2 linked regions of the Macaca fascicularis genome follow. The protein of the gene in region 1 interacts with the protein of each later gene in a pairwise test. Links are inferred from orthologs where the notes say so. Each region holds a gene or a part of one and is shown on either strand. Other genes may lie near its edges. The genes, in order: RAPGEF4 and BMERB1.

Evidence for each region.
Region 2: the proteins of RAPGEF4 (region 1) and BMERB1 interact in binary tests that used the Homo sapiens proteins (3 or more experiments, as listed by UniProt). The link is inferred for Macaca fascicularis from reciprocal best matches to the Homo sapiens genes RAPGEF4 and BMERB1.

The regions. Positions count from the first base shown.
Region 1 is NC_088386.1:68,547,799-68,551,617, reverse strand, and holds part of RAPGEF4 (rap guanine nucleotide exchange factor 4), read right to left. Parts: intron 2,588-3,819; coding exon 2,499-2,587; intron 1,762-2,498; coding exon 1,731-1,761; intron 1,510-1,730; coding exon 1,431-1,509; intron 276-1,430; coding exon 129-275; intron 1-128.
Region 2 is NC_088394.1:15,810,242-15,814,060, forward strand, and holds part of BMERB1 (bMERB domain-containing protein 1), read left to right. Parts: intron 1-990; coding exon 991-1,114; intron 1,115-3,819.

The sequences.
Region 1 (3,819 bases):
GAAGCATACATAAGCACCAGTTCATCCTCCGGGTGAGCCTCACATGACCACACTAACTTCTTACATAGTTTCTGCTTGGATGGAAAGTCCTGTTTTGCAGAGCCCAAAATGCGAATTAAGGCTGTTACCTCCTCCAGAACTCATCTTGACTATGATCAGGCCCTCCCCAGAGCCCAGCTTGTCGGCAACGGCGCTGATGACTTCCTTCACCGAGGCGGCCACTGGCACCCGAATGGTTGTGTAGGTGTGGTCCATGCAATAGACCTTAAACAGAACTATGCAAAGGCAGTAACAAGGTAGTAAATCAGTCTTAAGAGTTTTCAATAAAACTGTAGTTATGAAAAATGTTTAGGCATCCTCTCCAATTTGCATCATTTTGCCATTTTTATTACTATATTTATTCATACTCATTTACCCCATGCCTGCCCCTTCTAAACTGCTTACTTTAGCATTGGTCTAAGAATAGGTGCACATATGGTTGCCAAGTCCAATTAAAAGAACAAGAGATATTGGTGAAACCCCACAAATAGGTCATGGGAAAAAATGGAGAGTGTCTTCAGGCTGATGTTCAGGGTCTGAAGTACTACACTGTAGGCAATTTACAGATCACTGCTACCCTGTGTGGTGGTGGGGAGCCACCATTCACACCTCTGCACACAGGAGGGCTTCCGCCTGGGCCATCAGCACATGCTGATACTCCTGTTCACTTGCTTCAGTGGCTTGTGTGCTTTGGGGCCAGGCCACGTAAGCTTGGATGCTATTTAGCTCAGCAGACTTAGATCAGCAGATGTGGATATGGCACCCCGAGTCTCAGCTCTGAACACAAAAATCCTGGGAGCAATTCCCATTATTGTATTGTAATTCTTGGGTTTAGAGGCAGTCCTAAATGACGAGATTCATTTATAGCTTTAAATGAAATTTTTATCATTATTATTTGTGACTATTTTTGGTTGTGATTCTTTGGAGAATCTTAAACAACCAAACAAAAGCCAGCATCTTTATCTTCCTGATGTAAAGCCTCCATGCTCAGGGCTGTGCTCAGGGCCAGAGCATTGTCCCTGGGCAGGATGCTGGTGATCCACTGTCTCCTAGGCACCCACTAGGCGCCGGCTACCTTCCCACCAGCTTTTCCCAGGGGTGGGCAATCCTGACAACCAGACCCTGAGATCATCTTCATTTCTTCCCAGGAAAGGGGTTAAGCAGGGAGAGGCTGAATCAGGGAAGGGTAGACAGGCACCTCGGCTCCAGGCACAAGAAGAGTTTAAGGACATAAATCATCAGGCCACCAAAAGGCACCTCCAAGCAAACCATCTGGAGGGCAACAGGGCACCTCCAAAAGAAGTTATTCTGTGGGTCCAAGGTGATGCTTACCATTATCCTGACTCTAAATAATCTATACAACTATGAGTTAGTTGAAAGAGGGTTCTCACCTTCATCAGAGCCACGGATAGGCTGGCGCTTCTGGGCTCTCTCATCACCTGTATTGAACTGTTGCAAAAGAACCTTGTGCTGTAAAAACAACCACAGCAAGTGCCATAAGGGAGAGTGACCAATGCACACTAGCAACTCAGAGGAGACACATCTGAGAAGCAAGCAGAGTCAAGAAATTAAGACAATATATTTTGTGTCTACAAAAAAGAAATCACTTTTATGTATACTGCAATATAATATTTCTGGGGAATTGTAATTCTACAGGGCACAGACAGAGAGTTCAAGTTCATGCCATTTACCTTCTTTTGTGGTGCCTTTGCATCTTCTGAGCTACGAGAAGTAGAGAAAGCACATTATTTAATACCATTGCTACTATTAAATTGCCTTATTTGCATATAACTAATCTTATGTTAGAAAATGAAATCACAATCACAGAATCCTTTCAGGAGGCAATATGAACTTCCTCATTTTAATAGTAATAGATCAAAGCAGAAGGGTAGACAGCAAAGATATCAGCTCTTGTCAGAGGCAGATTCCTGGCAGAACCGATGTTCAAAGCCAGGATTTCTAGCTTTCAAAGTCTTATCTAGCAGCACACTCACTCTCTGATACTGCATTTAATCTATAGCTCAAGTAATAGCATGTGAAGACCTTGTGGTTCATTGAGAGGACACAAATATTCACCATCAACAGCTTTGGCAGCAGACAGTGAATTTTCCATATAAGTAATTGCCCTCAAACTTTCTTTAAATGCCGCTGGCCACGTTATTGCCAGATTCACTGCCTTGAACCTAAGGGACCCACATTTATTGAGTTGGACTCCACACAGGAGGATCTTTTCTTTCCCAGGCTTTCTTTTGGCAGCCTTCTAGCACAGAATGAACAGAATCTCAGTCCTTCTGTTCCTCTGGCCTTACTGCACCACCTATGCCCTTGGTCCAGTCTGCTTAAATCAAATCAAGCAGGGCATGGCTATGGAAAGACCAGCTTTAACTTTTCCTGTGGGCAAAGGATGTTTTGGGACTTACTTGATGAAAGCACACCCCCAAAGCCAAGCCCCTCCTTACATTTGCTTGACAATCTTCTCCAACTCCGGCAGTTGCTCCTTGAGGGCAGCAATCATCCGGGCGTCATCTGATACAGATACATAAAACTCCTGTAATTGGCAAAAGTCACAGGCTTTTAACAAGAACTGCAAAAGGCACATGATTCTGTCAAGAGCAATAAAGGTGTGTCCCTATGTCATCTGCTTCACCAGCATCTCCAGACCATGGCTTCATGGACTGGAGGAAGAACAAAGAAGAAAATGTTACACCATGTCTAAGTTCAAAATTGGCCATGAGAAGAAGTCTTAGAAATAGATAGTGGCAATCAATGACTGCACGGGCATCAGAAATGAAATGAACGCCACTGAACTATACCCTTAAAAATGGTTACAATGGGAAAATTTATATTAGATATCTATTTTACAACAATAAAACTTCAATTCAAAATAAATTGCAGGTGAATTATTTGTATGATATTTATATGAAAGCCAGTGTTTTGAAATGGGTCATTTTGGAGTCCACAAAAGAGCACTTTTTTTACTTCTTTTTTTTTCAGAGGAACTTCAGTGTTCATTCTCACATTATTTTGGCATGTATTGTTTATTTGCTAGGTGCTACTCATCCGTGGTTATGGTTGGTGGTAAGATGCTGCATGGTCTTCAGCACTGTAGCGAATTTATGCTGAGTTTGTGCCACCAACTCAGGACTCTCTGCTGCCCTTCTGGGAGCTGTCCTGACCCTGCAGCTGCAGGTGTGCCTGCTCTGCTTAGGAGCAGAACTCTGCTCTGCAGCAGAAGGTGAGAACCATGGCAGTGCCAGCTTCACCACCACTTTAGTTCATCTGCAAAATGGTCCTGTACTCAATGAGTAGAGGCCATGAGTCAATGTATGACCCCAAGCTACCGCCATTCCTCACATTTTCAAAATACTTCATTCCTCAGCTTGGAGGGATGCTCACGGTCCATTTTCCCTCCCTGCCTTGCCCCTCTGGCTGTGAAATGATATGAATAGAAAGGAGAGAGGGTGTATGTTTCTTTTGGATAATTTATAATTTTAGAACACACAGATTGAAAAAGTTTGAAACGGAAGTAACATTGCCTTTTGCCTGCACAGAAGTAAGGTCTTCATCCAAATTTTGGAGGGGAGAGTGACTAACTGGGCTTAAATGTCAGGATCAGTGCTGTAATTTGGGGCTAGAGTTACGGGAAGGAATGGGGAAGTGCAGCTTACAGCAGTGTTCATGAACCGCTTTCACAGCCTACCATTTCTGCTTCTGGCAATTCCTAAATAAACGATCTGCTCCACTCCACTCAAAAATATCTACCATTTGATCTAGTAGTCC
Region 2 (3,819 bases), on another chromosome or scaffold:
ACCTGTATCACAGTGGATATATGTATATGTACATAATAGTATATATATTCACATGCATATGTATTAACATTTTAACTGCTAACATTTTAGTGTACTTTTTCAGACTTTAAAAAAGTGTGTCTGGCCAGGCGCGATGGCTCATGCCTGTAATCCTAGCACTTTGGGAGGCTGAGGTGGGCGGATCACAAGGCCAGGAGTTAAGAGATCAGCCTGGCCAACATGATGAAACCCCATCTCAACTAAAAATACAAAAATTAGCCGGGTGTGGTGGTACACACCTGTTATCCCGGCTACTCAGGAGGCTGAGGTAGGAGAATCACTCGAACCTGGGAGGTGAAGGTTGCACTGAGTCAAGATTGTGCCACTGTACTCCAGCCTGGGCGACAGGGTGAGACTCCGTTTCAAAAAGAAAAAAATAAAGTGTGTCTGTGTATAGTATACATATTATATATATACAACCATATATATTCACATATATACATATATATATGTATATGTATGTATGTTCACGCTTGTAATCCCAGCACTTCAGGAGGCCAAGTTGGGGGGATCGCCTGAGGCCAGGAGTTTCAGACCAGCCTGGGCAACAGAGTGTGACACCCCATCTCTACAAAAAGTAAAAATTAAAAAATTACCAAGATGGGCCTGTAGTCCCAGCTACTCGGGAGGCTGAGGCAGGAGAATGGTGTGAATTCAGGAGGCGGAGCTTGCAGTGAGCTGAGATTGCTCCACTGCACTCCAGCCTGGGCGACAGAGCGAGCCTCCGTCTCAAAACAAAAAAGCAAACAAACGAAGTTCCTGTGGAAAACACGTTTTCTGGTTTCCAAAGGGCGTGCTCACGAATACACATTTGCGGCACAGGCTGAAGTCTGTGTGCCCTCAAGGCGTATGACAGTCGCGGAGCAAGGCTGTGCCCTGAAACCATGTCAGGGTGGGTCCCACGGTGCAGCCTCGGGGTCCTGATGCTTGCGTTTCGTGTCTCCTGCACAGATCAGCTGGACATCATCTCCATGGCGGAGACAACCATGATGCCGGAGGAGATTGAGCTGGAGATGGCAAAAATTCAGCGTCTCCGGGAAGTCTTGGTCCGCCGGGAGTCTGAGCTCAGGTTCATGTGAGTGTTTTGGGGATGTGGCCGAGGAAAGACGAGTGTGGAGGAGAGAGGAAAACCTAATCTTTATTGATTGCCTACTGTGTGCCGAGCCCTGAGATAAAGGCATTATGCACGTTTTTAAAAGCCTCATTTGATTCTCGCCACCACCCAGGGAAGTGGCTATTGTCATCTCCTGTTTTAAGCAAGACCCTGAAGTTGGAACTGAATTCAGGCCAATCTGACTCCAAAACCTTTGCTCCATCACCCACGGGGAAGACAGACCCTATGCTGGGGTCTTTGACGAGCACACACTCTGCTCTCAGGCCTGAGTTTTGTTTTTTTTCTTTTTTTTAAGCCTGTCAGCTTGGGCAGGTTACTTGTACTCTCTGAATTTCAGTTCCCTCATTTCTAAAATGGGGGAAAATAACAAGATGGGGTCTCTAGCAACATCAAAGTCATGTGGGTTGAGCGTTCATTAGCTACAGAGTAGGGCATTCCTGAAGAGTTGCAGATAGTCTTTCAAGACAAACTCATTTAAAAAGTGGGCTCTGAGTGTGTGGTGGTGCGCACCTGTGGTCCCAGCTGCTCAGGAGGCTGAGGTGGGAGGACTGTTTGAGTCCTGGAGTTCAAGGCTGCAGTGAGCTATGATTGCATCACCACACTCCAGTTTGGGTGACAGAGGGAGACCCTGTCTCTAAAAAGTACAAATTAAGGCCAGGCACAGTGGCTCACACCTGTAATCACAGCACCTTGGAAGGCTGAGGCGGGATGATCGCTTGAGCCCAGGAGTTCAAGACCAGACAGGGCAATGTAGCCAGACCCTGTCTCTATAAAAAATAAAATTAGCTGTGTGTGGCTGGCGTGTGGTTGTGTGTGCCTTTGTCCCAGCTACTCAGGAGGCCGAGGTGGGGGGATCGGTTGAGCCCAGGGGCTCAAGGCTGCAGTGAGCTATGATCATACCATTGCACTCCAACCTGGGAGACACAGCAAGACCCTGTCACTAAAAGAAAAAATTTAAAAATACAAAAAATATAAAAATCCATCAAATTAAAATGAAAAAATTGGGCTTTTGCAGACAAACAGTGAGAGGTTACAAGCAAAACCAAACCAAACCAGAGGTTAAGAGGCAACCTGGCTGGAAAATTCCCTGTGCTGCCTGTCAGCACCCCACCCACGCTCCACTGGAGGCAGCAGGAACATCAAACCTTCTAGGCAGGCATTAAGCCCCGCCCCTATTCTTTCACTGATTTTTCACAGCACCAAGAGGCTGAGTCTGTGATCATCCCATTTTGCAGATGAGGAGACTGAGGCTTGAAGAAATCAAACAACCTGCTCAAGGCCTCCCAGCTAGTAAATGGGGAGTTAGGGTTCAGACCCAGCTCTTTCTGCCTTTAAAACACGTATTCTTTATAAATTTTTAGTTACTTATTTAGAGAGAGGCTCTTGGTCTGTCGCCCAGGGTGGAATGCAGTGAGGCCATCGTAGCTCATTACAGCCTCGAACTTCTGAAAGCCCATCCTCTCACTAGGACATTATATGACCTTCCCTCTCCCTGCATAAAATGAATTGCAATATTCACAGCTGTCATTTATCCAGCCCTTTGCATGTGCCCGACCCTGAGCTAAATGCTTCCCATGCATAATTCCTTCTCAGAGACATCTCTGAGGAAGGTTCTAGAACATTTGCACTTTATGGCTAAGAAGTATCTTCCCTTTTGTCTGGAAATAAAAATGATACGTGAGCATTCAGAAACAATCCCTTCCTCCCTGTGTTTTAAAAGGAAGACAGAGGCCAGGTGTGGTGGCTTACATCTATAATCCTAGCACTTTGAGAGGCTGAGGCAGGTAGACCACTTGAGGCCAGGAGTTCGAGACCAGCCTGGCCAACAGGGCAAAACCCCATCTCTAGTGAAAATACAAAAAATTTAGCCACGTGTGGTGGCGTGCGCCTATAATCCCAGCTACTTGGGAGGCTGAGGCACAAGAATCGTTTGAAACTGGGAGGCGGAGGCTACAGCAAGCTGAGATTGTACTACTTCACTGCAGCCTGGGCAACAGAGTGAGAAACTATCTCAAAATAATAATAATAAAATAAAGTAAAAGGAAGACAGAGAACATGAGTCTTGCTTTTAAGTACTCAAGATCCCTTTGTTTAAAAAAAAATACAAAAATACAAAAAATTTAAAAATACAAATAGGAATTAAAAATTTTTAAAATATGTATTTATTTTTATTTACCTAATGGTGCTGCTGCAGGAACAATGGTTACCCCTGTACATTTACTGACCTTTACTGTGTGCACGTGTGTGTGTGGGTGGGTGGATGTGCATGTGTGGATGTGTGTGTGGATATTTGTGTGGATGTGTGGATGTGTGTGTGGATGTTTGTGTGTGGGTGTCTGGATGTGTGTATGTGTGTGTGTGGGTGTGGGTGTGGATCTGTGCGCGTGTGTGTGTGAGGATATGTGTGTGCATGTGTGTGTGTGGATGTGTGGGTGTGTGGATGTGTGCATGCGTGTTTGTGGACGTGTGTGTGGGGATATGTGTGTGCGTGTGTGAATGTGTGTGTGGGTGTGGATGCGTGCGTGTGTGGATGTGTGGATGTGTGTGTGAATGTGTGGATATGTGGATGTGTGGATGTGTGGATATGTGTGTGGATTTGTGGATGTGTGTGTGTGTGTGTGTATGGATGTGCACATGCCTGTCACTTAGCACGGGCTTAAGGACAA